7 linked regions of the Callithrix jacchus genome follow. The main gene of each other region encodes a partner of the protein of the gene in region 6 in a complex. Links are inferred from orthologs where the notes say so. Each region holds a gene or a part of one and is shown on either strand. Other genes may lie near its edges. The genes, in order: BUD13, PRPF6, CWC27, RBMX2, PLRG1, SNRPD3 and SART1.

The links.
Region 1: SNRPD3 (region 6) and BUD13 share a complex: the UniProt entries of both Homo sapiens proteins name them as parts of the minor spliceosome. The link is inferred for Callithrix jacchus from reciprocal best matches to the Homo sapiens genes SNRPD3 and BUD13.
Region 2: SNRPD3 (region 6) and PRPF6 share a complex: the UniProt entries of both Homo sapiens proteins name them as parts of the U4/U6-U5 tri-snRNP complex. The link is inferred for Callithrix jacchus from reciprocal best matches to the Homo sapiens genes SNRPD3 and PRPF6.
Region 3: SNRPD3 (region 6) and CWC27 share a complex: the UniProt entries of both Homo sapiens proteins name them as parts of the minor spliceosome. The link is inferred for Callithrix jacchus from reciprocal best matches to the Homo sapiens genes SNRPD3 and CWC27.
Region 4: SNRPD3 (region 6) and RBMX2 share a complex: the UniProt entries of both Homo sapiens proteins name them as parts of the minor spliceosome. The link is inferred for Callithrix jacchus from reciprocal best matches to the Homo sapiens genes SNRPD3 and RBMX2.
Region 5: SNRPD3 (region 6) and PLRG1 share a complex: the UniProt entries of both Homo sapiens proteins name them as parts of the minor spliceosome. The link is inferred for Callithrix jacchus from reciprocal best matches to the Homo sapiens genes SNRPD3 and PLRG1.
Region 7: SNRPD3 (region 6) and SART1 share a complex: the UniProt entries of both Homo sapiens proteins name them as parts of the U4/U6-U5 tri-snRNP complex. The link is inferred for Callithrix jacchus from reciprocal best matches to the Homo sapiens genes SNRPD3 and SART1.

The regions. Positions count from the first base shown.
Region 1 is NC_133511.1:16,405,187-16,408,973, reverse strand, and holds part of BUD13 (BUD13 homolog), read left to right. Parts: intron 1-388; coding exon 389-473; intron 474-2,664; coding exon 2,665-3,498; intron 3,499-3,787. UniProt on the Homo sapiens protein: Involved in pre-mRNA splicing as component of the activated spliceosome. As a component of the minor spliceosome, involved in the splicing of U12-type introns in pre-mRNAs.
Region 2 is NC_133506.1:59,454,032-59,458,598, reverse strand, and holds the start of PRPF6 (pre-mRNA-processing factor 6), read right to left. Parts: upstream 2,862-4,567; 5' UTR 2,753-2,861; coding exon 2,682-2,752; exon of another isoform or gene 2,627-2,681; intron 1,008-2,626; coding exon 839-1,007; intron 1-838. Other genes in the region: SAMD10 (sterile alpha motif domain-containing protein 10), read left to right, coding at 4,466-4,556. UniProt on the Homo sapiens protein: Involved in pre-mRNA splicing as component of the U4/U6-U5 tri-snRNP complex, one of the building blocks of the spliceosome.
Region 3 is NC_133503.1:144,762,248-144,766,746, reverse strand, and holds the start of CWC27 (spliceosome-associated protein CWC27 homolog), read left to right. Parts: upstream 1-1,498; 5' UTR 1,499-1,705; coding exon 1,706-1,747; intron 1,748-4,499. Other genes in the region: protein SREK1IP1, read right to left, coding at 1,072-1,084. UniProt on the Homo sapiens protein: As part of the spliceosome, plays a role in pre-mRNA splicing. Probable inactive PPIase with no peptidyl-prolyl cis-trans isomerase activity. As a component of the minor spliceosome, involved in the splicing of U12-type introns in pre-mRNAs.
Region 4 is NC_133524.1:126,051,168-126,054,954, reverse strand, and holds part of RBMX2 (RNA-binding motif protein, X-linked 2), read right to left. Parts: intron 1,268-3,787; coding exon 1,138-1,267; intron 1-1,137. UniProt on the Homo sapiens protein: Involved in pre-mRNA splicing as component of the activated spliceosome. As a component of the minor spliceosome, involved in the splicing of U12-type introns in pre-mRNAs.
Region 5 is NC_133504.1:42,068,132-42,072,391, reverse strand, and holds the start of PLRG1 (pleiotropic regulator 1), read right to left. Parts: upstream 2,857-4,260; 5' UTR 2,771-2,856; coding exon 2,762-2,770; intron 1,439-2,761; coding exon 1,332-1,438; intron 336-1,331; coding exon 193-335; intron 1-192. UniProt on the Homo sapiens protein: Involved in pre-mRNA splicing as component of the spliceosome. Component of the PRP19-CDC5L complex that forms an integral part of the spliceosome and is required for activating pre-mRNA splicing.
Region 6 is NC_133502.1:195,106,420-195,110,786, reverse strand, and holds the start of SNRPD3 (small nuclear ribonucleoprotein Sm D3), read right to left. Parts: upstream 3,082-4,367; 5' UTR 2,986-3,081; intron 2,800-2,985; exon of another isoform or gene 2,725-2,799; intron 870-2,724; 5' UTR 854-869; coding exon 728-853; intron 1-727. Other genes in the region: protein GUCD1, read left to right, coding at 4,214-4,367. UniProt on the Homo sapiens protein: Plays a role in pre-mRNA splicing as a core component of the spliceosomal U1, U2, U4 and U5 small nuclear ribonucleoproteins (snRNPs), the building blocks of the spliceosome.
Region 7 is NC_133511.1:123,045,680-123,049,466, reverse strand, and holds part of SART1 (U4/U6.U5 tri-snRNP-associated protein 1), read right to left. Parts: coding exon 3,653-3,787; intron 3,518-3,652; coding exon 3,311-3,517; intron 2,653-3,310; coding exon 2,528-2,652; intron 2,441-2,527; coding exon 2,325-2,440; intron 2,243-2,324; coding exon 2,106-2,242; intron 1-2,105. UniProt on the Homo sapiens protein: Plays a role in mRNA splicing as a component of the U4/U6-U5 tri-snRNP, one of the building blocks of the spliceosome. May also bind to DNA.

The sequences.
Region 1 (3,787 bases), on a different chromosome or scaffold from region 6:
TGATTAGTTCTAGGCATGATGAGGAGGGCCACCTATGTTTTCACTCTTAATGTAAAAGTAAAAATGTAAAAGGAATTTTGTTGTTAGCTTACAAGTGGCTGTTGTGTACCTAGCAGGTTAATAAAAAGGTTTGTAATGAAAGAAATTAACCTTTGCAGGGAAATTGATTAGTTAGAGAAGGATCTACAATTCAACCAAGACAGTGACAATCAGATGTTTATGGAGCAAACGTAACTGAAGACTCCTACTTATTTCTTCATGACCGTTTTGGATATGTGTGTGCCCTTATGTTAGGAATCGGAATAGTTGTAACTTCAGATTCTTGAGACAATGCTTCTTGGTTGGATCCTGTGAATTTCCTCAGTATAGTAAATCTTTACTCCTGCAGGTGGCAGAGTTTGTGGATGAGCGACCAGAAGAGGTGAAGCAGATGGAGGCCTTTCGTTCCAGTGCCAAATGGAAGCTTCTGGGAGGTGAGTTCCAACAAAAGGCACATCTAAATTTCCATTAGTAGGGGAGGTCTTTTTTCTTTTCCTATACTTTTCTTTTAGAAGAATGCATAATTTGTTTTAGCTTGTCATTGATGCTGAAAAATATAGCAGGAAAAAGGAATTTGGACTTCTTCAGAGGTAGTAAGACATGGGAACTTAGAGACCAAATATTCCTTTCTCTTATATTTTGGCATCAGGGTTACTGAGGTCAGTGACTAATTTGGAGGCCTTTGAGTACCCATTCCTCTTTGACCCAGAATAGGAGAGCACTTGATATAGGCAAGACTTGGGGGGAGTTTACAAGAAACAGGAACAGAATTTGGAGACATTAGCCACCTCTATCCTCTTCCACAATGAAGCAGCTCATTTCTGGGAGGGTCAAGGACCAATGTTTTTTGTTCTGTTTATTTGTGTTAGTAAATTTCTCTCTTCTTTCCTTAAATATTGGCATTTTACAGTGCATTACCCTCCACTTGCCCATTCTAGACTCTTCTTAAGCTAATATTTATAATTTAACCGTCTTAAAAAAAAATGTGAGTCCTTGAGAATTGGATAAAAAGCATTTGTTTATCACATCTGTTTGAGCATAGTCTAGTCTTATTTGCCGTGATGTTCCTCTGTCTAGCACAAGGAGCTACCTAGTAAATAGTTGTAGAATTGTTGAATTGCTAGTAGGGATTTGATTTTTGTAGCCTAATCGGAATTCTTTTCCAAAGAAAATCTTTTGGTTTCTATATCTGTTTGTCTAGGAAGACACACAGACACACACAGTGCTTCTTCTTCTGTATCTGAATGTTTAGAAAGACATACAAACTTGCACACACACAGTGCTTTTTCTTCTGTAACTGAATGTGTGGAAAGTCACACATACATACTCTCTCTCTCTCTCTCTCTCTCTCTCTCCCTCCATCCCCCCCCTCCCTTTCCCTCTCCCTCTCCAACCCTCCCTCCCCCTTCCTTTTCTTCTGCCTTACTCTCACTTCCCTATCCCAATTTGTTACTGGAAATATGCTCACCAGTCTCCGACCCTTACTTCCTTTAGATTTGCTGTTAGGCCCCCACAGACATCATACTTCTCTCTGTGGAGTGGATTAGAATCAGATAGGCCTGTTACCCAAGCTAAAGGGGTTGACTTGGTTTAATTAATCTATTTAACAAGTATTCATCAGGTCCTACCTAGCTGTTATTTGTATTTGGGCTATGGAGCTGAATGACAAGAAATAGAGGTAGAGGAAGAACTGGAATTTGAAACTGTTCCAGTTGCTGTAGATATTTCATTCTGCGGTGCCTCTGAAAATGGAAAGTCTCAAACTATGTATTTTCACTTTAAAGATTTACATATTTTAAAGATTGCACAGAGTCTATGGACTCTGGAGTCAAATAGAGTTGGATTTAAATATATCTCCACCACTTATTAGCAGTATGACTTGGGCAAGTTAATCTTTCTGAGTATCAGCTTCCTCATGTGTAAAATGGAAATAACAATATTTACGTCCCAGGCTTGTTAAGAGAATTGAATCAGGTAATCTCTACATTGGCACACAGTAGGTGATTGGTAAATGCTTGTTCCTTTTTCTTTTTTCCCGGTGGTGATTTTTCCCCTCTCTAACAAAGAACACAGTGAAATGGATTAAATAGTTAACAGCATTTTATTTTGATGTTCGTTGGTTTAGTCAATTTACCTTTTGAAAGAAGGGTGAGTATGAACTATAAAGTATCTGGGCTAAATATCAGTAGGAGCCACTGTCTGGTAACTGCACAAATGAGGTTTTAGAAAGAGCACTGGACTGGGAGTTAGGAGACTTGGATTCTAGCCTGTATCTTCATCTTAGTAGCTGTGACCTTAGGTCAGAAATCACTCAGCTCCTCAGCTGAAAACATCATGCTGTAATACAAGGGTACCTGCCCTGCTTGTCTTATAGGGTATAATATAAAAAATGTACTGGAAATACTTTGCACATTTATGACTTAGTAGGCAAATAAGACAGGTTATTCTTAAGATATTCATGAGTGCTGGTTTGCTGCTCCTAAGCAAGGAAACTACAGGACTTTTGGGCTTTCTGAGCAGTTCTGAGGTTATGTGCTGCTGGAGCATCTTTTGAAACTGGGTGTGAAGCGGGGACAGAGGGACAGAGCATTTGTGGGAATCTGACTATTTGTTATTTGTGTTTAGGCCACAATGAAGACCTACCCTCACATGGGCATTTTCGTCATGATACCCCAGATTCATCTCCTAGGAGAGTCCATCATGATACCCCGAATTCGTCTCCTAGGAGGGCCCGTCATGACTCCCCAGATTCTTCTCTCCTCAGAGGAGCTTGTCATGACTCAGACACATCTCCCAGGAGGATCCGTCATGACACCTCAGACACTTCACCCCCAAGGAGGGCCCGTCATGATTCTCCCGATCCTTCTCCCCCCAGGAAGCCCCAGCATAATTCTTCAGGTGCATCTCCTAGGAGAGTCCGTCATGATTCACCAGATCCCTCTCCTCCTAGGCGAGCCCGTCATGATTCACCAGATCCCTCTCCTCCTAGGCGAGCCCGTCATGATTCACCAGATCCCTCTCCTCCTAGGCGAGCCCGTCATGATTCACCAGATCCCTCTCCTCCTAGGCGAGCCCGTCATGATTCACCAGATCCCTCTCCTAGGCGAGCCCATCATGATTTCTCAGATACCTCTCCCCTCAGAAGGGCCCATAACAACTCCCCTAACACATCTCAACCTAGGAGGACTCTTGCCTCTTCAAACATGCAGCAACTCAGAAGGGCTCGTCATGACTCCCCTGATTTGGCTCCTAATGTCACTCATTCCCTGCCCAGAACCAAAAGTAGTAAAGCCCCAGAAAGAGCCTCTAGCAAGACTTCTTCACATTGGAAGGAGTCAGGAGCCTCTCATTCGACACTCCCAAAGAACAGCAAATATGAGTATGACTCTGACCTCTCTCCTCCACGAAAAAAGCAAGCAAAATCTCATTTTGGAGATAAGCAGCAGCTTGATTACAAAGGTGAGCATATGACTGTCCATGAGAGGGATGTGTGTATCCCCTGGGAGCTTTCTTTTGGCCCTTTACTTGCTTTATAAGGTCTAAGAATGGAGTTTCTTTGGGAAAGTTTTGAAAAGTGAGAGGCTGGGGTTGGGAGAGTTAAAAAATTACGGTGGTAGGGAGGAAGGTTTTCATATATCTTTTTATTTACTTGCCCCACCCCATATAAAAGTACAATTTTTTTTGTTGCAGAAGCTTTAGAATGTACAGAAGTGTATAAAGAGAAAAGTGACACAAAATTCTGTCATTC
Region 2 (4,567 bases), on a different chromosome or scaffold from region 6:
TACTGTGTCATCGTAACCCCTTGGTTTCAATAACTGTGCTAAGGTCATGTAAGACGGGAAGAAGCTTGGTGAAAGATACACAGAAACCTTTTTTTTTTCTTCTGAGAGGGAGTCTCACTCTGTGGCTAGGATGGAGTGCAATGGTGTGATCTCTGTTCACTGCAACCTCTGACTTCCTTGTTCAAGCGATTCTCCTGCCTCAGCCTCCCAAGTAGCTGGGCTTACAGGCACGTGCCATCATGACCAACTAATTTTTGTATTTTTAGTAGAAACAGGGTTTCACCATGTTGGCCAGGATAGTCACGATCTCCTGATCCTGTAATCCGCCCACCTCGGCTTTCCAAAGTGCTGGGATTACAGATGTGAGCCACCATGCCTGGCCAACTTTTTTCAACTTTTTTTTGGCACTACTGTTGCAAGTTCCTGCAAATTTAAAATTATTTCAAAACTAAAATTATTTTTAAAAATTTTCCTCAGAGGAAAAATGTGATCTGTTAGAAGACAGTTAATCGGTATTCAGTCAGCTGAGGTTTTCCTTTAGATGTCTTTTTAGAGGGCAACCACTAACGCTAAAAAAACCAAATACTTTCGGTTTTTATGATAAAAGACTGACCAATACAAAATACCAGGGCAGTGGTCCTCATATCTGCAAGAACATCTCTCTGAAGAGATAAAAAGTGCACATTCCTCCGTATTTTTCCTGCTCCCTCTCACTCTGCTAAAGATGTCCCGTGAATAGCTGAAATTTTAAATGCATGAGCCACTCCACTGGTTAGGGAGCTGGTCAGCTGCTCCCAGAGACTGGCTGGAGGAGCCACAGAAGCCCAACACATCCCACCTCGTCGTAATTGGTGTCATTTAGGTCCTCATCATCATCATCAGCAGCCTGGTTTTTCTTCATCTGGTCCCCAACGGTTCTCTTTCCTGGGGGCGCATGACGATCATCCACAGGATCATTTGCATCACGGGCGGGCCCAATGTCTGACCGTGTGGTGAAGCCGGTGGCACTGCAGGAGACCCCCAAGACACCCAGTATCTGAATGCGCCTGTTCCCAGGCTCTTCTCCACCCCTGGTCATCACTTAATATCACCTCTATTTCTAACACCTCTGGGAAATCTCCAAAGATCCTGGTGACAATGAACTGCAGTCTCAAATACCACCGATCTCTACTTACCCGAAGGTTTCAACTCACCCTGATGACGTTTCCAAGGCAATCCCTCCACCCAAAGGCTTTGATCATCTCCCCCTCCACATCCAGCCAGGCCCTTAAACCCAACTTGGCCCAAACTGAGCTCCTCTTCTGGGCCCACCTTACAGCTTGCTCAGGGGTGTTTCAGCGTGCTGACCCACATGCCATGGGTGTGGGTCCATGACACAATATTTGCCTCCCTTTCCCACTCTCTCCATCCTGTCTGCCACTAAGTACTAATGAATCCACCTCCAAAATCTCTCCTCCCCAGACTATGACTCCCACCACAGCTGGAAACCAAGTTAGCCCTCCCTGCCTCTAGCCTTCCTCTACTTCAACCCATCTTCTGCAAGATGATTCTTCCCAAAACACAGCTCTGATTGAAAACTTCTGAAGGGTCACGGTCTTTCCGACGTCTCCAGGAGCTCTAGCCTGTGGCTCAAGGCCACTCCAACCTCCTAAGCTCTGTTCTACTGGCTGCACATCCTATTCACACTGGACTCCCCTGTTCCCCGGGCTTCCTCCTGGCCTCACTTTTTTCCTTTCTTTTTTTTTTTTTTTTGAGACAGAGTTTTCGCTCTTGTTACCCAGGCTGGAGTGCAATGGCGCGATCTCGGCTCACCGCAACCTCCGCCTCCTGGGTTCAGGCAATTCTCCTGCCTCAGCCTCCTGAGTAGCTGGGATTACAGGCACGCGCCACCATGCCCAGCTAATTTTTTGTATTTTTAGTAGAAACGGGGTTTCACCATGTTGACCAGGATGGTCTCGATCTCTTGATCTCACGATCCACCTGCCTCGGCCTCCCAAAGTGCTGGGATTACAGGCGTGAGCCACCGTGTCCGGCGGCCTCACTTTTTTCTAACTCTCCACACACACAATGGCAGTTTCTCTTCTATCGCTACCATATTTCGGCAGCCCTAAGTCCAGCTCTCCTACTAAACTTGGCCCCAACGACACCCTCCATTAAGCACTGGGTTCTAAATCTGATCCTCCTTACGTACTGATTTATGGTAACACCAAACCCTCCATGAGCTTCGGGTCCTCTGAAGGCGCAGTCAATATCCGAGTCTTGTGTGTGCCCCACAGATTCTAGTATATCACCACCAAGAAAAACCCAGTAGTTTTCCTCATCAAATGAATGATCAGATAGGATAGCAATGACTGCTCACTTATCCGACCCAGGCACGCTTAAGGCGCGGCGAGGGGGGTGTCAGCCTGACCTGGGAAGGCGGCCGCGTTTCCACTACTCCTCACTGCAGGCTGCACACAGCATCATCTTACACTGGGGCTGACAGCCAGGGCGTCACAACCATGCAGCAGGCAGGCTGCATACACACGTCTGTCCTGACCCAAAGCCCGCGGCTTCCTGCAGGGATTAAGCCGATCCCCCGAGTGTCTTTCAGACCGCGCAGCCAAAGACCCCCGCCCCCAAACACCTGCACTGCGCTCCGCCAGCCGGGTCGCCGCCCCACGTCTTGCCCCAGGCCTCACCCCCGGCCCAGCCCCGGCACGTAGCCGAGCGGCGCGGGCATCCCCAGGAACGGCTTCTTCTTCTTGTTCATGGCGGCGACGATGACCAAGGCTAGGAAGGAATGAAGCCGCGGAAGAGAGAAAGACGCAGACACTCCGAGCTCCGACGTCCGAGGCGCTCGGTAGGAGGAGGTCGCGGTTGGCGCGTCACTGGCGCCCCGGAAGCAGAGCGCTCGGTCCGCACAAAGCCCGCCCACTTTTGACTCCCCGGGCGGAAGCCCCGACGCGCTCCTGACGACTTCCGGCCGCGGCTAGGGGGCGGGGACATGGCAGGCGCGTGAGCTGGAGCGCCTCCTCGTGGCGGGGCAGGAGGAACGAGGCCGAGCTTGCACTGGGACCCTAACGGGCTCCGGGGACGGCCCCAAAAGCTGAGCCTCGGGCATCGCTGCTTCCCCAGTGCTCTGATGCATTCCCAAGGAGACCTGTCTGCCAGTAGGGCCCTCGGCCCCCTCCCTCTGAACCAGCCCAGCTTCCCGCCCTCGCCCTTGGCGGGCCCTGATCACTTTCGAGTGGAGCGCACCCCGTGCAGTTGTGTAGAGCTTGTGCGTACTGGTTATGGGCACACCTGTCTGTGGGCACACCTGCCTGTGGGCGTCCTGTGCGCACGCTGCTGCCCTATGCTTTTACGTAGGGGCACCCCCGCAACATTGTGCTTTTAGCATTCACATTTTTGGGCTCCCATTCAGGCATCTGTGCCTCCAGCGGGATTAGAGACCCCACCCACGGCCCCCAATATGCCTTGGACATTCTGGTGAGGGCCGCATTCTCAGCTCCCGGAGAGCTAACTGACGAAATCACCACAGCGGACCTGTCAGGAACACGTCAGTACATAAACATGGCTGTCAAGCATGTGGGTGAATTCTGTGTGTGTGAATTAGTGGGGTGTGTGCACATTGAGGTCACGTGTGCTCGTTTTGGGTACACGTGCATGACTCTACTCTGTGCACGCATTTCTGCTCCTTCTGCTGTAAGACATCCTCCAGATCCCCTGCATACACCCAGGGAGAGCACCTAGGCTCCTGGGCAGAGCAAGCCAATCACAGCCCAGCCCAGCATTTCTCACTGGAGTCCTGGAGCAAACACATCGCTCCAGCCTGCTACAGCCTCCTTGGAGTTCCTCTCTGTCCCATCTCCAGCCAAGCCCCTTTCAGTTACAGAGGACTGCACCGCCCCCCGGGCACTGAGCCAGGTTCTGGGGCTGCAGAGGGAAGGAAGAGTAACCCTAATGTTCACAGTGGGGTGGGCGGTAAGCAAGAGTCAAGCTGGTTTCCCCGGGAAGCGGGTGCCCATTCCAGGGAGAGTAAAGAGGCAGGAGGCCGAGGGCAGTATGTGGGAGGGGCTGATCTGCCCCTTCTCCTGGCTGTGGGTAGAAGGCCCCGCAAGATGCCCGTCAGCCCATCCCTACGCACGGAGGGGCCGGACCTCAGAGGACCCCAGCAGGTGCACGGGGCCTCTCCTCCCCGGAGCCGCGCCCGGGGCGCACGGACGCCCCTCGCCCTGGCGGATAGCCTTGGCGCACGCAGGCCCGCGCGCCGCCGACACACCTCGGAGCTCCCGGAGCGCGCCCGGCACACAGGGCTCGGCTGCAGGTGCCTCGCCGCGCAGACTCGCGGACCGCGGGGACCGGCTCGGGAGCGGGGCCGGCTGGGGCGGGGCGGGGCGGCGGCGCGCGTTCCCCGCCGGCCACACCGGCCGCCCTGCACTCGGCGAGGGGCGTGTGGGCGGGCCGGGCTCCCGCGGGCCCCATGTTCACCGAGCTGAGGTCCAAGCTGAGCCCCCCGCGAGGCCGCGCCGGGGCCGTGCGCGCGGACTTCGGGGAGCGCCGGGATGTGGACGGTGAGCAGGGC
Region 3 (4,499 bases), on a different chromosome or scaffold from region 6:
TTCGCTGCTAAATTCTAAGTTCTGTGTGAAGTGTAGCCATGTCTACCTTGCTCACGATTGTATTTTCAATGCCTCCAGTGCCTGGCACACAATAGGCACTTAATAGAGTGTACACTTCCTCTCTCACAGCTCCAGATGTACTCCTCCCCAAACTGCAGTTGGTACAAAAGCCAATGTTCCCATAACAGGTATCTGTAGAATGAGGTTCAAAAAGGCTGCCACAGAACAAAGATTATCTGGTCAAATAATACTGGGAAAGGTAGGTTTAAACAGGGCTCTGAACCATGGTAATTTTCAGAATCCTTTCTATTACTAAAGTGCACTGTGAATTTCCAAGTTGCGGGGGATAGGGTGGAGGAGTGTATATTCCTGAAAATATCTCCTGCAACCAGTGTTCGCAAAGCCGGTTTAAGGAGATGCACTCCCCTACTAGAACTTCCAAGTAAGCTAGTAGTTGAGGACGAGAAAATCTTTTAATTATTCTGCGAGTTCACCATTTTTAGGGCAGTAACTTCTGGACACAGAATTTGAGACTCAGAAGAAATCTTATACATCATTCAACAAAGCTCCATGTTTTTATAAGAAAACTGAGGCCCAGAAGCACAAAGAGACCAATCTGTGGCCACAGAGCAGCTACCTACAACAGGAAAGGCTAGGAGTAGAACCCAGACACCCGGCAGGTCCTAGCGACTTCTAAGACAAACGATGGCTCCGGTTACCTGAGTCGGCCAAGTGTTTCCACTTCAAATTCTATTTTAAAGCCATACCACAGTTAAGGTAGTTTTTCTTGGCCGCCTGCCCCCTTAGGCCTACAATTACAGTCTCTCCCTTCTCCCTCCCTTCCACGATATACTTTCCCTGTAATCCCATGCAGTTGCGGGGGGAGGAAGATAGTTACTTTCTTTCCTTCAGAGTTTTTCTTTGGACTGTAAACTTTTTCACGTAAACAAAACAAACTCATGAATTTTAAGGCCTCCACCTAAATCCCCATGGGCGCTGCTCCCTACATCCTGCACCCTACCCTATCCTCCCTTGCGCTCCCTTCCGAGCTCGGACGCAGTGGCTCCTTACCTGGGACCGCCATGACGGTGGTGACAGGGGTCACTGCAGCCTCCGGCTTTCGAAAAGGCGCTTGCTTCCCGCCAGCTGCGAGGACAAGGCACAGCCAAAGCGGCGTTTGCCTTCCCCAGAGCGGCAGCACCTTCGCTACAGTCGGAAGGCCCTGTAAGCCTCTAGCGACAACAGAACCAGTAGACGCAGATGCGGTTTCCGGACGAGTCATATTGCAGAAGACACATGGTCCGGACCATTACTGTTAGTTTTGGGGGGTGCTGAGTGCGATCTGCACACGCAAGTAGTGAAGTAAACACCGCCAAAACTTACGAAGTGCCTCTTCTAATGTTGTAATACAAATTACATTAAGCCATAGTAGCTTTACAGACTTTTTTTTGTACCCAGGAGTACATTGGAATCACCCTTCTCAGCATTAGCGGTGCTCGGGTCCGATAACAACATGGCGGCGTCCGAGAGGGGTTGTTTTGGGCAAAGGTAGTGTTTGGTGTTCCTGTCTTGCGTGATGTTGACAAACTGAAGCTTTCCTGGACCACTCGACTTAACGAAGAGTGTGCTCGTAGGCGGACAGCTTTCGTGACCCGCCGTCCACTCTCATCCCCCATAAGGAGCAGAGTCCTTAGTACTGATCGCGATGAGCAACATCTACATCCAGGAGCCTCCCACGAATGGGAAGGTGAGAGCTTCATCTAGGGAACTTGGGGCCCTGAGATCCCCAAAATGAGATTTCCCGGATTTGGGGTGGGGAATGGGTTCAGGGATCTTGTGGTAGGAAGAGACCACGAGAAGTGTTGTCTTTACTTCTTCCTGTGGACAATGTTGCATCGAAACACTGAAGCTGGTACTTCTCAGCATGTACTTGAAAAAGTCAAGTGGAGATTTCCCTATCCAGCAGCGTTCCGGTCATATTTTCTGCCTTAACCCAACTCACGCAGCCTATATCTAGGGCCTTAAGTTTTTAAAAGTACATTTTTGAGTTTGATATATTCTTTGCTTAACTTGGAGGTCATTAATTCTCCATTTCTTCTACAGTCATTAATTGAACGCCTGCTAGCCACTGGGCACTGTACTAGGCGCCGGAGATACAAAGAGGCATAGGTAAGGTAGTTTTCCAGGAAGAGCTTACAGTTTAGAGACAGGCAGGTAAACAAAAGCCTTGTATGTCTGATAAGAGTGCTTGTAGAGAAGAGACCATGTTACTATGGTAATACTGAGTAGTGAACAATTGGGAAAGTTAGGAAAAGCATCATGGAGAAGCTATCTTTTGAGCTGGTTTTAAAACCTGAGATGACTGTCATTCAGAGAAAGGGGGAAATGGGGAATATTACCACATTAGAATGGAAAAATGTTTCTCTGATTGATTTAATGGCTAATGTATGCCAATTCCCATCCAAGGTGTTTGTATACAGTACAAGGCAGAAGAGTCAGTTGTAGAATAAGTATCACCTGAATTTTTATTTATTTATATATTTAAAGTATTTATTTTATTGCATTTTAGGTTTTGGGGTACATGTGAAGAACATGCAAGATAGTTGCATAGGTGCACAGCAGTGTGATTTGCTGCCTTCCTCCCCTTCACCTATATCTGGCATTTCTCCCCATGCTATCTCTCCCCAACTCCCCACCCCCCGCTGTCCCTCCCCTATTTTCCCCAATAGACCCCAGTGTGTAGTGCTCCCCTCCCTGTGTCCATGTGTTCTCATTGTCCAACACCCCCCTATGAGTGAGAACATTCGGTATTTCGTTTTCTGTTCTTGTGTAAGCTTGCTGAGAATGATGTTCTCCAGGTTCATCCATGTCCCTGCAAAGGACACGAACTCATCATTTCTGATTGCTGCATAATATTCCATGGTGTATATGTGCCACATTTTCCCTGTCCAGTCTATCATCCATGGGCATTTGGGTTGATTCCAGGTCTTTGCTATTGTAAACAGTGCTGCAGTGACCATTCGTGTGCATGTGTCCTTATAGTAGAACGATTTATATTCCTTTGGATATATACCCAGTAATGGGATTGCTCGGTCAAATGGAATTTCTATTTCTAGGTCCTTGAGGAATCGCCACATTGTCTTCCACAATGGTTGAACTAATTTACACTCCCAACAGCACTGTAAAAGTGTTCCTATTTCTCCACATCCTCTCCAGCATCTGTTGTCTCCAGATTTTTTAATGATCGCCATTCTAACTGGCGTGAGATGGTATCTCAATGTAGTTTTGATTTGCATTTCTCTAATAACCAGTGATGATGAGCATTTTTTCATGTTTGTTGGCCACATGTATGTCTTCTTTTGTAAAGTGTCTGTTCATATCCTTCACTTCCTTTTGAATGGGCTTATTTGTTTTTTTCTTGTAAATCTGTTTTAGTTCTTTGTAAATTCTGGATATCAGCCCTTTATCAGATGGGTAAACTGCAAAAATTTTTTCCCATTCTGTTGGTTGCCTATTCAATCTAATGACTGTTTTTTTTTGCCGTGCAGAAACTATGGAGTTTGATTAGGTCCCATTTTTCTATTTTGGCTTTTGTTGCCAATGCTTTTGGTGTTTTGGTCATGAAGTCCTTGCCTACTCCTATGTCCTGAATTTCGCCTAGATTTTCTTCTAGTGTTTTTATGGTGTTAGGTCTTATGTTTGTCTTTAATCCATCTGGAGTTAATTTTAGTGTAAGGTGTCAGGAAGGGGTCCAGTTTCTGCTTTCTGCACATAGCTAGCTACTTTTCCCAACACCATTTATTAAACAGGGAATCCTTTCCCCATTGCTTCTTTTTGTCAGGTTTATCAAAGATTGTATGGTTGTAGATTTGTTGTGTTGCCTCCGAGGCCTCTGTTTTGTTCCATTGGTCTATATCGCTGTTTTGGTACCAATACCATGCTGTTTTGATTACTGTAGCCTTGTAGTATAGTTTGAAGTCCAGTAGGGTGATGCCTCCCGCTGTGTTCTTTTTACTCAGAATTGACTTGGCTATGCGGACTCTCATTTGGTTCCATATGAAGTTTAAGGTGGTTTTTTCCAGTTCTGTGAATAAGCTCATTGGTAGTTTGATGGGGATAACGTTGAATCTGTAAATTACTTTGGGCATATGGCCATTTTCATGATATTGATTCTTCCTAACCATGAACATGGAATGTTTCTCCATATGTTTGTGTCCTCTCTTATTTCGTTGAGCAGTGGTTTGTAGTTCTCCTTGAAGAGGTCTTTACGTTCCTTGTTAGTTGTATTCCTAGGTATTTTATTCTCTTTGTAGCAACTGTGAATGGCAGTTTGTTCTTGATTTGGCTCTCTTTAAGTCTGTTATTGGTGTATAGGAATGCTTGTGATTTTTGCACATTGATTTTGTATCCTGAGACATTGCTGAAGTTGCTTATCAGTTTCAGGAGATTTTGGGCTGAGATGATGGGGTCCTCTAGATACACAATCATGTCGTCTGCAA
Region 4 (3,787 bases), on a different chromosome or scaffold from region 6:
CCTTCTTGCCAAATTTTGTCACTAAAGCAGACCTGTCCAACTGGTGTGTCATAGCATGTACACCTAAATATTAATACACTCAGCTCTCAGGGCAGCCAGGTGAGGCCTGGGCAATTGTACCAGCAGCCTCATCACTTTACCCCAGGGCATCATATAAATATCTTCCTGTTCTACATGGTCCACAAAATGAAAAAGACTAGGAAACACTACTACCTCAAAGCACAAGCATCAGGGAAGACTGTGAGATTTAGATGCACAATTAACTACCCTTGATCTGTAACATAAGTTTACAGTGAAACATGCCCTAGGAAGGTCTGGCAACTAGAAGGAATTCTTGATATCTAGCTTAATGCTACAACTGCTTTCCCGACACAGTCATTAGGAGGCAAAGCCAGACCAACAGTTTGGCGAGAGGAAGGAATAGAGAAAAGGAAACTTTCTTTTTTCTTAAGCCCTCACACCTTGCTCTAGCCACACCACACTGGAACAGTAGGCTCACACTGATTATTGCGCTATGAATCACAACTCTACAGGTGAACAACAATAAAAAATTAACCCCTCTGATCAGGTTCAGTGGCACTTTGGGAGGCCGAGGAGGGTGGATCACTTGAGGTCAGGAGTTCAAGACCAGCCTGCCCAAATTGGTGAAGCCCTGTCTCTACTAAAAACACAAAAAATTAGCTGGGCATGGTGGTGCGTGCCTGTAATCTCAGCTACTCCAGAGGCTGAGGCAGGAGAATTGCCTGAACCCAGGAGGCGGAGGTTGTGGTGAGCCGAGATCGCGCCATTGCACTCCAGCCTGGGTAACAAGAGAGAAACTTCGTCTCAAAAAAAAAAAAAAAAAAGAAAAAGAAAGGTAAAAAACAGAGGCCTGGAGGGGAGGCAGGCCTGGTACCTATGCTCCTGGGGAGACAATTTGTTAACAGATGGGAAAAAGAAGCAAGTCCTGCAGGGCCACAAGTCAACAGAATTATTTCCTGGAATCTCTTTTTGACCAGTGTCTCCACACCTCTGCAGCCCCTGCAACACACCAAGCTGACGAGTGCTGCCCCGGTGTCCATGGCAACCAGGTAGAAAACGAAACCCCTATACAAGGGGAAAAAATGTCCAACCAACCTGCTTAGTAAGTACACTCACCTTGATCCCATTAAAATTGTCAACGGCCAGAATTGTGCTCCTCTGGTCTTCATAGCAGAGAAAACAAAATCCTTTGGACTTCCCAGTCTTCTTGTCCCGCACGAGATTAATGTTAACAATCTCCCCATATCTATTTATTTTATAAAAGAGTAAGACACTATTGACTTAAAAGGCAAAAACATGCAGATAAGGTAATAAAACAAAATTCAAATAATACAGTATGTACAAGAGATACATCTAGAACGAGATGATACAGAAAGGTCATGACAAAGAAAAAGTCAGACAAGAACAGGAGTACCCAATTAAAAAACAGGCACTAATATCAAGAGCAAAGGCTAATTCAAGGCCACAATAAAAAATGAAACTAAGAAGATTATTTTACACTGAAAAAGGCCTAAATACAAAACAAAGGTATAAGTCAGGAAAACTTTAGGTCAATTAAGAAATCAAAATTTTTAATTAAAAAAGCTATCAGAAATGCAAAGAAAAACTAATAGCAAAAGTTATGGAAGAATTTAACAAATCACTTTGAAGTTTATCATGCACAAAGTGGACAGAAATAAGATCAGATTAATTAATATACATAATTACTATAACAATTATACAAACAAATATTAATGTAATTAGATACATAGATATCTTTGAATCCTACAAGATGACAGTTTCAAGAATTCATGAAGATTGTACTAAAATAGACTATGGATTAGGTCTCAATGTAAACCTCAATAATTATACTCCAAAAAACAGACAGACCTAAAGCTGGAAATGATATTTTAAATAAAAAACACCTTACCTAACTAGAACTTGAAAGCTACTCTCTTAATAACTGGATGAAAGAGAAGATGAAGCAAAATATTTTTTTTAAAATGGCAGACTATTTAGAAAATAGCAAAAATGAGAAGAATATATACCAAAACTTATGAAATGTACCTAACATCATAGGAAAATTTGTAACTTTAAAATAATTTTATTGTGAACAAAAAGGATGAATATAAAGGAAGAAAGCAACCCTAATGAAAGCAGATGGGAGCTAATAAAGATAAAGGCAGAAATTTGGCTAGGCATGGTGGCTCATGCCTGTAATCCCAGAACTTTGGGAGACCAAGATGGGAGGATTGTTTGAGGCCAGCAATTTGAGACCAGCCTGAGCAACAGAACAAGACCCTGTCTCTAAAAAAAAAAAAAAACCAAATAGATAAAAAGGCAGAATTAAATAGAAAAAAAAAAGGCCAGGCATGGTGGCTCACACCTATAATATGTAATACCAGCACTTTGGGAGGCAGGAGTATTGTTTGAGGCCAGTAGTTCAAGACAGACTGGGCAACAGAACAAGATCCTATTTCCAAAAAAAACAAGCAAACAAAAAAAGATCAGGCATAGTGGCTCACACATGTAATACCAGCACTTAGGGAGGCCAAGGCCAGAGGATCACTTGATGCCAGGAGTTTGAGACAAGCTGGACAATACAGCAAGACCCCTGTTTCTACAAAATAATAAGTTTTTTAATTAGCCAGGCATGGTAGTGTTCACTTGTAGTCCCAGCCACTCAGGAGGGTGAATGGGGAGAATCACTTGAGCCCAGGAGTTCAAGGCTGCAGTGAGCTAGGATCATGCCACTACACTGTGACCTGAGCGAGAGAGTGGGACTCTGTCTCAAAAAAGAAAAAACATTAGGAATAAAAGACTACCTTACTCCTTGCAGCAAGATAAATTCCAGATAAGTTAGAGGTTTATAAATTTAAAAATAAAGTCATAAAAATAAAACGGGAATTGACAGGTATGTTACATAATCACATACATACACTTCAGCCCAAAATCTAGCAATCTACTTAATGAGAAATACTAGAGCTGATTCAAGTAAGTTTAGAAACTATTTAATACTAAAATGAAGGTATAGGCCAATGCAATTAGGTAAAACAGATATAAGAAATGAAAAAAAGGAAGTAAAATTATCCTTTTGTAGATTACATATGATAGTATACATGGAAAACCCAGAGAATCCATGATAAACAATGATTAAAAACAGAGCGTAACAATTCAGTAAAGCAACAAGATATAAAGTTAAAAATCAATCACTCTGTTATACAGAAACAATAATCAGAAGAAATGATAAAAGGGAAATCGTATTTATCATAGCAAAAAAAGACAAAGTACTTAGAAATATACTTATCAACAAAAAATGTACAAAGCCCATATAAAGAAAACTATTTTAAAATTCCCAAAAGTCACAAACATAGATTTGAACAAATATGAAGGTATCCCTTGTTCTTGGACAGGATGACTCACTATCATAAGGTATCAAAATCTTCTCCCGAGTTAATGTAAATTTAATATAATTCCAATAACAATACCAGTTTGGTTTCTTTCCTGAAAGCTGAATAAGTTAATTCTAAAATTCTTATGGAAAAAAGAACATGTAAAAATAGCTGGGAAAACTCTTAATGAGAACAATGAGGGGGAGTAACTCTTATCAGATATCAGACAGACTGAAATTACTAGTGTGGTATTGGAAAATTAATAGACCAATAGAATAAAAGCTAAGAAAGAGACTCAAGTATACATGAAAACAAATAGTATATGATAAGGGTGACATACCAATTTGCTGGGGAAAATATGGACTCAAAAAACTTTTTTTTGCAGAGATAGTTCT
Region 5 (4,260 bases), on a different chromosome or scaffold from region 6:
AAAAAAAAAGTCAGCAACCAATGTCTCAGTATTCCCATGAGGATCAAAACTTCCATTATAATACCAATACAGCCATTAAATACTGTATGATCACAATAAGTTCTGCCAGGAGGGGCATAAATAACCCATTTTATTTTTCTATTTTTAAAATTCACATGTAAGTCCTGACATTTCTGATAATACCATACTCACCTTGATTGGCAGGGTACTGTTTATGACCATATGAATCTGTTGCATTCTGAGGACCCTTCTCTTTAAGGTTTTCTTTTGAAGTAGGCATATGCAACACAGGACCATACTCATTACGAAGCTTGATTGCCATTTTTCGTTTGTGACTATTTAGAAATTATAAACATAAGAACATATCCGTAAATACTTTAAAACAAATACTTGGATAGCTTAAGTTTGCCAAATCATGTAGAAAAAGTTTCTAGTAAGATTTTAAGTCATATTTAAAAGATTAAAAAATTTCCAAGTTCATTTTCCCACCATTATCTGTTTTCTTTTGCTCACATTCCACCACACAGCATTCATTAAACCTAATATTTTAGTTCGTTACCAAATAAATACAAAACCTTTTATGATAAATTATCAAGGGTCTGATTGAAAGATATATAGAAACTAACATATCCTTTAAGAAACCTCAAAATCAATATACTTTCCTTCAATATATAAATATAGTAAGAACTTTATAGCAGCCTTTCTATGTTTCTAAACAGGTTAGTCAAAACTAATCAAAATCCTTAACTGGTTCAGTATTTTAGAAAGAAAGGCACTTATATTACTTTTTAAAATTGTCTACTTTATAAATTAAATATAAATGCTTGTTTGAGGAATTCAGTAGATTTTAAAAGGGTAAAGAACAAAGAAGGAACACTGCACATAATGCAATCCCAGACTAGAGCTGGATATGTAGAACCAAAAATGTGCCACCATTCAAAAATCTTTATCATACTAACGAGAAAAGATAGGAGTAGAGGTACTGGCCAGGTACAATTTCAGCTCAGCAAGGCTCTGAGAGCAGCAGGAAGCTGAAAGCACATACAAAGTGATTTATTATAAAATAAAACACCTAAAAGGGGCTCGCTTAATTACTGGGCATTTATAAAATGCAATTAATTAATGGAACTTTTACTGTAAAAGGCAAAAAAAAAAGTTAAATCAGCTTAAATTATGCCAAAATACCACTCATTATTGAATAATTAGGCCATGAGTATTACTAACTTATCTTTAAAGGTCTCCCTCTCCCTGTTCTCTTTGCCCAATATTAAAATGTTAAATATTTCAGCAACTGGAAAAAAAAAAAAAACAAAAACAAAATCTATACCTACCTCTCTTCATCTAAAGGCACAGGTTTTCCATTATCAGCTACAAACATGTCATGGGTCCTCTTCAACGACCTGAACACAAGTGTGTGTACAGAATGTTTCTGTACCTCCTAAAAAGAAAGAATGCAATTACACACCTACCTATAAATTAAACAAATCATAACATAACGTCAGATTGGTTATACACTTTACATGTTTAAAAATGTAAAAAGCTTTATACACTCATCATAGCTACTAGTTGCAAGCTACAGGAGTCAAGTTCAGAAAAGAGGAAGCTCCTCTTTGGCTAGAAACTCAGGTATAGCAACTGAGTGATGCCTGAGTTTAGTCATTTATTTAACAAATATTTATTGAGCTCTGGCAGGTGTTGTGCTAGAATCTCACAACAAAATGATAAAAAGGTGGTCATGGTCCCTGTGCTCAGGAGGAAACAGTAAAAAGTAAAATAATTCCACATTTTGATAAGTGCTATGAAGGCAACAAGCAAGGTGCTGAGTCAGAGTACGAAGGACTAAGTATAATTGTAAAAGATTTCACTAAGATGATATTTAAGCAGAAAGGGAGTTAGCTTTGCACAAACAGAAGTTAAAACGAACCAGGCTGACAGAAATATTATGTAAAAAGGTGTTCAGTTAACTGAAATAAAACAAGGAGCACAGTACAGCTGTATATGGTGGGTGAGAAGGTGCTTTGTGGTTGCAAGGGTACACAAGGTCCAGATTAGGTAAGGCCTTTTAGACCATTACAACAACCTAATATTTTGTGTTCCAGCAACATAGGGTCAGTAAAGGGTTTTAAGCAAGAAAGGTATGAACAACTTACGTTTTAAACAGAACTTATAGAACAAAATGGAAACAAGGAAACCAGTCCAGGTGAAGGATGCGGTTGGTCTGAATTAAGGTGGACTGCAGTGGTTACAGAGAAGAGTTGATGGAATCAATAAATATATGGGGTAAGATGGACAAGACCAGCTAACAGAGCGGCTGTTCAAGGCAGGGAAAGATGTAAAGAATGGCAAGATTTTCTGGGGGTAGAGATGAAATAAGAGAAGAACCTGAACGCAAGATAAAGAAGGCCGCCAGTCTTTTAGGGCACAGAATCACTGACACTGCCCCGAGGGCGGCGAGTACCAGTGGTCGAACACCAACAGAGGCCCCGCCTCCAAGGACAGTGTCCAGCCCCCAAGAGTCAAACGGGGACTGAACGATTTATCTCAGGCTTCGCGCCCGGATTGAACTTCTGACTCGGGTTCTCATCCGGTTTCTCCCCCTTCCCCGAAAACCTGAAAAAGAGACCACCCGGCCTTGGCCAAATAGCTCCCCTCGTAGCCTCTTTTCTCTCCGGACTCCAAGCACTCTCAATCCCCCACGCCCACTGCCAAAGAAAAACAGTCCAGAGGCAAACGGTTCTTGAGAGCACCAGTGTCACTTTACCTCGACCATGATGCTGCCGTATATCCCACCTCTGGCAGCGACGAAACCCTAATCACTAACGCAGTACCCGCCGCCACAACTGTGCGGCACCTTCCGGAATTGGGCACCCAGGCGGCGGATGTGACGCAACTCTGCGCACGCGCGCTGGTTTCCCCCGGCCATCTGGGATCGGGAGGCGGATCTTCCTCCTCGGGACCGCCTCTAGGGCGGAGTCTCGAAGCTGAGGAGCGGAGACTCCTTGAAGCGCCTGACCGGAGGGTTTCACTCGCACCTCTGAGGAAATCTTACAATTTGTTTTCTTCCTTATCCTCAGCCTTAAATGTTTTGATTGGGGTCCTGGTTGTTCGTGCTGTTTTGCTTGGGGTCCTGATTGTTCGTGCTGTATTACCCGGTAGCTTAATGCTTTTTATTCAGGGAACCTCAGCGTCTGGAGAGCAAACTCCCGTGGGCTCTAAGTCACTTGCACTGCCTTGATCTCTTTGGAGGTCGCCGACGTGGTTTGTCTGCTGGTTCCAGTCCTGGCGAGAAGCACTTGAACACTGTTGTAGGCTTAACGCCTGAAAACAATTTCGCTTAAACAGTCCAGTAAACACTTGTTGAGTGAATGTTGCGGAATAGTTGTTTTAATTTGGAGATTTTTCATATGTAGATATACAAAATAATTTTAACAGTGTAAAACCCCACATTTATTTTCTGCTAATAGGTTGGTTTTTTTTTTTTAGTTTCTCAAAACTGTGTAGCTCTTGGCCATTTCCTAGTTGTCTGCTGATTATTGGGCTTCAACAATGCCAGGATACAGCGTTTCAAAGCTGGTTGAAGAAAGGCACAATTGGAGACTTTAGCCATTTTTATTTTTACATATCCTTGTGCCAAGTATTGATATTTTTGCTTTCTACCCTGGTAAAATCTGCGGTTTGTGGTCAATCCTACCCAATTATTTTTCTATGTAAAATGAAAAATTGATGGACTTGGGCATTTGCAAGCTTAAATAGACAAACACCTTACTGGCCCTGTTTCAGTTTCACTGATCCTGTCCCCAGAGCATACTACATACACTTCGAAAGGAAAAAAAAAAAAAGACCTAGCAAAAGAATAGCAATGTAAATCGATGACCTCACTTGGAAATTTAAAACATTAAGGTCATGGTGGATTTTTGTTTTGTTTTGTTTTGTTTTCGAGATAGAATTTCGCTCTTGTCGCCCAGGCTGGAGTGCAATGGCACGATATTGACTCATTGCAACCTCTGCCTTGCAGGTTCAAGGGATTCTCCTGCCTCAGCCTCCCGAAGAGCTGGGATTCCATCTATGCACCACCACGCCTGGCTAATTTTTGTATTTTTAGTAGAGGCGGGGTTTCACCATATTGGCCAGGCTGATCTTGACCTCCTGACCTCAGGTGATCTGCCCACCTGGGTCTCCCAAAGTGCTGAGATTACAGGCCTGAGCCACCGCACCTGGCCCTAAGGTCATGTTTTTACTTGAAGATGCATCACCTCTGAA
Region 6 (4,367 bases):
GTTGCAGTGAGCCGAGATCGCACCATTGTACTCCAGCCTGGGTAACAAGAGCGAAACTGTCTCAAAAAAAAAAAAAAATTCAGATGACTATGCAAAAGGCCAAGTTGTGCCATGAGAAGGACACCATATCAGGAAACTACTCCATTATTTATTATCAGTGATGAGTCCTTTAATCTCACTCTCCCTATTTTATGGATGTCAAGACTATCACCAAACCTGCTTACCTCACAAGGTAGTTGCAATAATCAAATGAGATTCTCCCTCCAAGAGAAAAGGGAAACAAATACAGTATGGGAGAAGATTCTGCTAACCACAAGGCAAGTGAAGGCAAATGGATAATGGCTCTGAATCTGAAGAATTCTACTGAAGTAGCACTTCCCTCAAATAGGCCCCCAACTCTGGGGATGGAAAAAACAAAAAGGACAAAGTAAAATATTCCAAACCTCCAATGGCTTTCCTGCCTCAAGACTGTGCCTTGTTCATGCCCACATTCCCAGAGCCTGTAACAACAGTGCCTGGCATGCATTAGGCACTCAGAAAATCATTGCTGAAAAATAACAACAACAAAATAATAAGAAAAATAAAAATAATAAAAAACAAACAAACAAAAGAAAATCATTGCTGAATGAGAACAATTTTTTTTCAAAGACCCCCAACCCACACCTTTCCGTTCCTCTGAGACACAGGTCCATTCCTCCCACATAGCCTCATGTGCAAAGCAGGATACCTGGCAGTTCATGTTGTCCTCTGCCTCAATGAGCTTCCCACGATATACCTCGCCGGTGTTCGTTTCGCATGTCACAATGTGTCCCTCGGCCTCATGCAGTACTTTAATCGGCACACCAATAGACATCTTGGCAGGAAGAGTTCTAATGAGAGAGGCAACAGTCAGTTCATCATTCAGAGACTGAGAAGGCATGCAGCACATACTGTGCTTCCTTCAAGGCCTAGCCCTCCATAAAACTTAGCAAAAATGCCAAAACTGAATTTTTTTTTTTTTTTGAGCCAGAGTCTCTCTCTGTTGCCAAGGCTGGAGTGCAGTGGCACAATCTAGGCTTACCACAACCTCTGCCTCAAGGGTTCAAGAGATTCTCCTGCCCCACCAAGTCAGGCTACTTTTTTAGTATGGGGTTTCACCGTGTTAGCCAGGATGGTCTCAATCTCCTGATCTCGTGATCCACCCATCTTGGTCTCCCAAGTGTTGGGATTACAGGCGTGAGCATTGCGCCCGGCCCAAAGCTACATTTTCTACAAAAACAAAAACAAAATAAAATAAAACAAAACAAAAACAACTCAGCTCCTGGCTTGGAGGAAACTATCTGGCAAATATGTGCAAGATGTGGGGTGAGAAGGAATGGTGGGCTGGACAGAGATAAAAATAGAAATGAAAAGAGAGCCTCTCCCATCAACCACATGTCCCTACTACCCTATGTCCCTTAATCTTCATCTAAATGACCATTAGCGAATACTGTTCGTGTTGCGGAGTGGGGGTTAGAATGTTATTTGTTGCATTGTTATTGTCAACCGTAATTGTACATGATTACATTTTGAAAATTATATAGGCCTGAGCTGTCCAATACAGCTCATGTCCACATGTAGCTATTTAAATTAAACTTACTTAAAACAAAATAAAATTAAAATAAAAAACCCAGTCTCAATCCCAGTGGCCATATTCCAAGTGCTCAATGGCCATATGTAGCTAGTGGCTCCCCTATGGAAGGTGCAGATACAGACCAAAGGACCCATGAACACCTAGGAGAGGGGGCTGCACTTTTAATTCAGCCCTTTAACCCCTCACTTACTTTACCATCAAAGATGAGGAAATATCAAAGTGACAATATGCTCTATTCAGGAAATGCTTGTCATGGAGGAAAATCAGGGAAATCACCTGATTTGACCTAATTAAAAGAATCAAGCAGCCAGGCGTGGTAGCTCAAGCCTGTAATCCCAGCACTTTGGAGGCCAAGGCGAGCGGATCACCTGAGGTCGGGAGTTCAAGACCAGCCTGACCAACATGGTGAAAGCCCGTCTTTAAAAAAAAAAAAGAATCAAGCAGTGAACTTTTTATTGAGATAAGCAACGACTCAAAGTTGGAACGTAAGTGCACTTAACAGAGGAGAACGTGAGGTTGAAGAAACAGGTTCCTTTGGTGAGGATCCCTTGCTTTCAGCTTTAGGAGTCTACATTTTATACTGAAAATAGTGGGGAACCACTGCACGATTTTAAGTAAAGAATGACGTAATGAAAAAAGCAGCAGCACTGCCGGGCGCAGTGGCTCACACCTGTAATCCTAGCACTTTGGGAGGCTGAGGCGGGCGGATCACCTGAGGTCAGGAGTTCAAGACCAGCCTGACCAATATGGTGAAAACCCGTCTTTAAAAGAAAAAAAATTTTTTTTGAATAAAAAAAAAAAGTGGCAGCATTTATTTATAAAATGGATAGAATGTAAGGTTTAGAAGCAGAGAAACTTGTTAAAACTTCTGCAACAGTGTGGAAACCATGAGGGGACCACTACCTGAAAGGGGGCTGGAGGCAGAGATGCAAGTAACTTTTAAAAGAATGATCGGCCGGGCGCGGTGGCTCACACCTATAATCCCACCACTTTGGAAGGCCGAGGCCGGTAGATCCCTTGAGCCCAGGAGTTCAAGACTAGTAAGGGCGACATGGTGAAACCCATCACTACTCCAAAACAAAAAGAAAAAATAAACAGAAAAAAGCACTCACAGGATTTGGGGAAAGGAGACAGTCAACCAGAAATGACTTCAAGATTACTGCCTGGAAGCTCTGAAAAACACTGACCTGGAGAGATACAAAAAGTGAAAGCATGCACGCTGAAGCTAATGAACTTACTTCTAGGCGCTAGTGAGGCGATGCTCGCTGATGTCTGGGTGGCCCAAGCTTCCCGCTTTCTTCCCTCCCCGAGCCCCGCAGAGTTCCATGCAGCGAGTGGCCCCTCGACCCCCCCTTGCCCGTCCCCAGCCTCACCAGCTCCGGCCTCCTTCTCCTCTTCGGTGCGGCGGCAAATGAGTCTACGGCTAAGGCGTGAGTTCAGCGAATGGCGGGCCCAGCTCCCAGAATTCCAATCGTTCCCAAAATGCAGCGCGCAGGGCCCACCTCCTTCCTTTCCCCATTGGTAAGTGCGGTCTCGTCTCCGCTTCCTCTTCGCTGCGCCCGCCGGCTGGGAAACTAGGGCACCGCTACGATAGTTCCGGCACCAGAAGAGACGGCTGATAACTGGGCCCGAGGGCCGCCGGAAACAACGACCCTTGGGCCGGCAACGAGCCGCAGAGGGTGCTCGCACTTCCAAGCACCCCACACCAAGGACAGGCTGGACTGCAAGGCGGAAACCCGGGGCCTGGGCCGTCAGACCCGGGGCCTGGGCCGTCAGACCCGGGGCAGCAGGAGGTTGGGCCAAGGGCCAGGACTTCCCCCTCACAATTTAATTTTTTGATCCCGGCACCGCTAGGTAAGGGGCGCCCTGAGCGGGGCGAGGTATCTCGTACGGATAAAATTAGGTATAGAGTAGGGCGGCGGCCGGCTCAGGATCATCCCTAAAGGCAGTTGAAAGAGAGTTGTGGCCGGGCGCGGTGGCTCATGCCTATAATCTCAGCACTTTGGGAGGCCGAGGCGGGTGGATCACGAGGTCAAGAGATCGAGACCATCCTGGTCACCATGGTGAAACCCCGTCTCTATTAAAAATACAAAAAATTAGCTGGGCATGGTGGTGTGTGCCTGTAATCCCAGGTTCTCGGGAGGCTGAGGCAGGAGAATTGCATGAACCCAGGAGGCGGAGGTTGCGGTGAGCCGAGATCGCGCCATTGCACTCCAGCCTGGGTAACAAGAGCGAAACTCCGTCTCAAAAAATAAAATAAAATAAAAATAAAAAAATAAAAAGAGAGTTGTTTGGCGCTTCGGCAATGCATTGGGCGGGACCGGTGCTTACACCTAAGGCTGCAAAGGAGCGGGTCACGGCAGAGGCGGAGTTTGCTGAAGAGACGAACCTCTAGGAAGCATCTGCACTAAGTGCACGAGCTTCGGGGCGGGCCTCAAGGAAAGGGGTGGGGCTTCCGGGGCCCGTGTCCTGGTGGGCAGCGCGTCTACGCGAGGATTGGGCGACGGGGCGGGGCCACCCGACGCAGAAGCGGCAAATGGCCGGGGCGGGCTTAAATCGAGAGACTGGGGGCGTCTAGAATCAAAGTTTGGGGCGGGGCTTATGGAAGGGGCGGGGCCTTTAGATTCGCGAACTAGAAGGGCCGGGGCGGGCCTTGGGGAGGCCCAGCCGCCGCCTCCAGTTCTCCCCACCGCATCGGCGGCGGTGGCGGCGGAGGAACTGGAGACGCACCGGCCGCCCTCCCGCCCCAGCCGAA
Region 7 (3,787 bases), on a different chromosome or scaffold from region 6:
TTACTGACTCTAGAAGACACAGGTGTTCACTGGAATACACTTTCACTTTTCTGCTGGTATGTGGGGTGTGGCTCATATATTTTAAAAGCTTTCTAGGCTAGGCCAGGCCAGGTGGCTCATGCCTATAACCCCAGCACTTTGGGAGGTAGAGGCGAGAGGATTGTTTGAGCCCAGGAGTTTGAGACCAGCCTGGGCAACAAGGTGAGACCCTGTTGCTAAAATTTTTTTTTTATTTGCCAGGTGTGGTGGTGGTCTCAGCTACTTGGGAGGCTGGGGCAGAAGGATCCCTTGAGCCTGGGATTTCAAGGATGTAGTGGGCTATGACCACACCGCTGCACTCCAGCCCGAGCAACAGAGCAAGACCTTGTTTCTTAAAACAACAACAAAAACAACCTCCTAGGTTTCTAATGTGCAGGCAGGCTAAGAACTTCAGGGCTAATAACCCTTACATTCATTTCAGTCATAAAACACACAGCCCTGTCAGTCTATCGCCCCATTTCTCTGTTCTTTTTTCTTTTCGAGACAGAGAGACAGAGTCTTGCTCCATTGTCAGGTACCAGGCTGGAGTGCAGTGGCACTCAGCCACTGCAACCTCCGCGTCCCAGGTTCAAGCAATTCTCCTGCCTCATCCTCCCGAGAAGCTGGGACTACAGGCGTGTGCCACCATGCCCAGCTAATTTTTGTATTTTTAGTAGAGATGGGGTTTCACCATGTTGGCCAGGATGGTCTCGATCTCTTGACCTCGTGATCCGCCCGCCTCAGCGCCCCAAAGTGGTGGGATTACAGGCGTGAGCCACCTGGCTCGGCCTTCTCCGTTCTTTTTTACAGATAGACTGGGCAAACTATGTCCCACTACCTAGAAATAAAGTGTCACTGGAAACCAGCCACGCCCACTCACAGATTGTCTTAGCTGTTTTTCCTACAATAGCAGAGCACACAAGGGGCCTGACAGAGACCACACACCCTTAAACCTCAAATCTGTCCTCTGCAGCCCTTCAATACCAAGCCTGCCCTCCGTCCCAGGCGCAGCCCTCACCTTCTCAACTCTCATCCTCCCAGCCCTGAATCCACTCGAACAGTCCCCACTTTACCTCCCAGTCGCATCAGAAGCCTCCCTCCCTTACTCCCTCTCCTGGATACCCTTTCTTGGCTTCTTCCTAGGTAAAAAGTGTGGGGTAGGGCTAAAAATGTGGCCTCGGCAATGATGGAGGTGACAGAACCTTCCTCACAGGAACAAACACAGAGCAGGAGAGCAGTGCCCGGCACACTGTGCCGGCGAGGCAGTGATGGCCATGGGCTCAAGGCTCCCCCTGCGCTGGCTCCCAGCCTCTCCATCTCAGCTCACACCACCCTCTCTCTGCTTCTGCCTCCCTGGTCCTCAGGCACTTTAAGGTTGATTCTTCTGATATACCTTCTGGTTGGTCTATGGCTTAAACGCCAGCCTGTCCACCTGCTGCCACCCCTCTCCCCCACACACTCTGAAAGCCAGCTCCATGAACCCAGGGCCCTGCAGCTGTCCTGTTCACCAATGACCCTCCCAGCTCAAGAATAATGCACTACTCACAGTAGGCATTCAACAAACACACACAGGAAAGGAAAGGATCCCCCACTAAGCAGGTATCTGGCGGTGGAAACACTGCAGACGTCTCAAAACCTGCACAAAACATGACTTTAAACAGAAAAGAGGGTTGGGCGCAGTGGCTCACACCTGTAATCTCAGCACTTTGGGAGGCTGAGGTGGACAGATCACCTGAAGTCAGGAGTTCAAGACCAGCCTAGTGAAACCCAGTCTCTACTAAAAATACAAAAATTAGCCAGATTCGGTGGTGGGCGCCTGTAATCTCAGCTACTCAGGAGACTGAGGCATGAGAATCGCTTGAACCCAGGAGATGGAGGTTGCAGTGAGCAGAGATCGTACCACTGCACTTCAGACTGGGTGACAGAGTGAAACCGTATCAAAATAAAAAAAAAAAAAAAACACCCAAAAAACAAACAGAAAAGAGGCTTCAGACAGGAATGTGGCTGTTTGCCATGACAAAGGGCACGTGCTTGTGAGGATAGGCCAATGCACCGGGAGCCCCAGGCCTGCCTGCGCCCAGCCTCACCTTCTCGCCACTGTCTCGAAGCTGCTGCAGCTGTCGTAGCCGGCGCCCCTTCTCCAGCTGCTTCTGCAGCTCCAGCTCTGCCTCGTCCTCCTCCAGCACCTGTGGGGACCCCGGTGGCGGCGGAGCTCCATTCTCCTCTGGGAGAAACACGGGATGCCTGCTCAGACCATCTTCCCCAACCCTGTCCCTGCCCCCTTCCACCCCCTGCCGGGCCCTCACCCTCATCACTGATGTCCATGTTCTCCACTCGGGTGTCGTCTGATGGCGGGGGCTGAGGCATGGACTCCTTCTCCTCCTCCACCTCGGACACTCGACGGCGACCCCGGCCCCGCAGTCTGAGGGAAGAAGGCCTCTCTGGTGAGCACCAGCCCCCAGGCCACCCCAGCCCAGCCCTCTCCTCCTGCCACCATGTCCAAGCCCACCTGGAACCAAAGTCCCCATCCTGAGTCTGGTCCCCGAGAGGCAGCAAGTCATCCGCCCGCACTACTACCTCCTTCTCCTTCTTTCGGATTTTCTTCACCCTCCGCTTGGTCTTTTTAAAGGTCACCTGAGAGGAAGAGAGGAGAGACATAGAGCGGGGTGGCGGAGAGGCGGCCCACCACAGCCCTCAAGGGTGAACCTCTTAGGTGTTCCTCTGTGCTAGCCAGTCTCCTGAGCGCTTCCCACACATGAGTAACACGTGGGGTGGTTACTATCTCCAATCCACTCATGAGATGGGGAAACTGGGCACAGAGAGGTTAAGTACCTTGCCAAGGTTGCCCACTCCTAAGTGAGGGAACACTTAGCAAGACGCCTACTGCACTGGCTGTCTACCTCATGTTACAGTCACTCCACGGGCAAGAGCCACACACACCTGTCCAGTCACCCCTCACCCATGCTGTCACTCATCCTCACAGCAACCTCAGGAGGCGGCTCTTGTCACTGACACTCCAGATGGGGTGCCCCAGGCTCACAGTTAAATGGCTCACCCAGGGCACGGGCTGGCAGCATGGCAGAGCCCGAATACAGACTGAGGCCCATGTGGCTCAGCAGCCCTGATCCATCCACACCCGGTACTCCCCCAGATGCCATTTACTGCTCGCCCACAAGGCCAAGCACTTTGCAAACATGAACACTCGGCCTCTCTTCTGAGTGCCTGCAGGCAGTGCATGAGCCGAGAGGGAGGGAGAATTGTGATATCGAGTACGAGGCACGAGAAGGCTCACCATCTCCTCAGGCGTGAGGTACTCGGAGGCCAGCCGGGGCCCCACCGTGCTCAGGGACTGAGCCTGCAGCCGCAGCTTGGCCCGGATCTCCTCCAGCTCCCGCTCCCGCAGTCCATCAGCTGTGCCGCCCTGCTCTAGGCGGAAGGAGTGCGGCCGCTCACCCTCAAGCTCTTCGTCGTACTTAGCCAGGATAGAGTGAGGTTTTTGCTGCAGGGCAAGAGGCACAGGTTGGAACCCAGGCTGGCTCCTGAAAACCCACCTAGCCACCACCTCCTCAGAGCCCCGACTCCCGACATTCACCGCCCCATCCCCCGCCGCCCACCCAGCCTGCCCGCCACGTGCCTGTGCCAGGTCATCCACACTCTCATCCTCCACATAGGGCAGGTAGTCGGGCTTCTTCTTCCGCAGCTCCACATTTTTCTCTGCCCGCTCCTTATCCACCAGGTTCACGTTCACCAGCACATCTTCCTCCTCCTG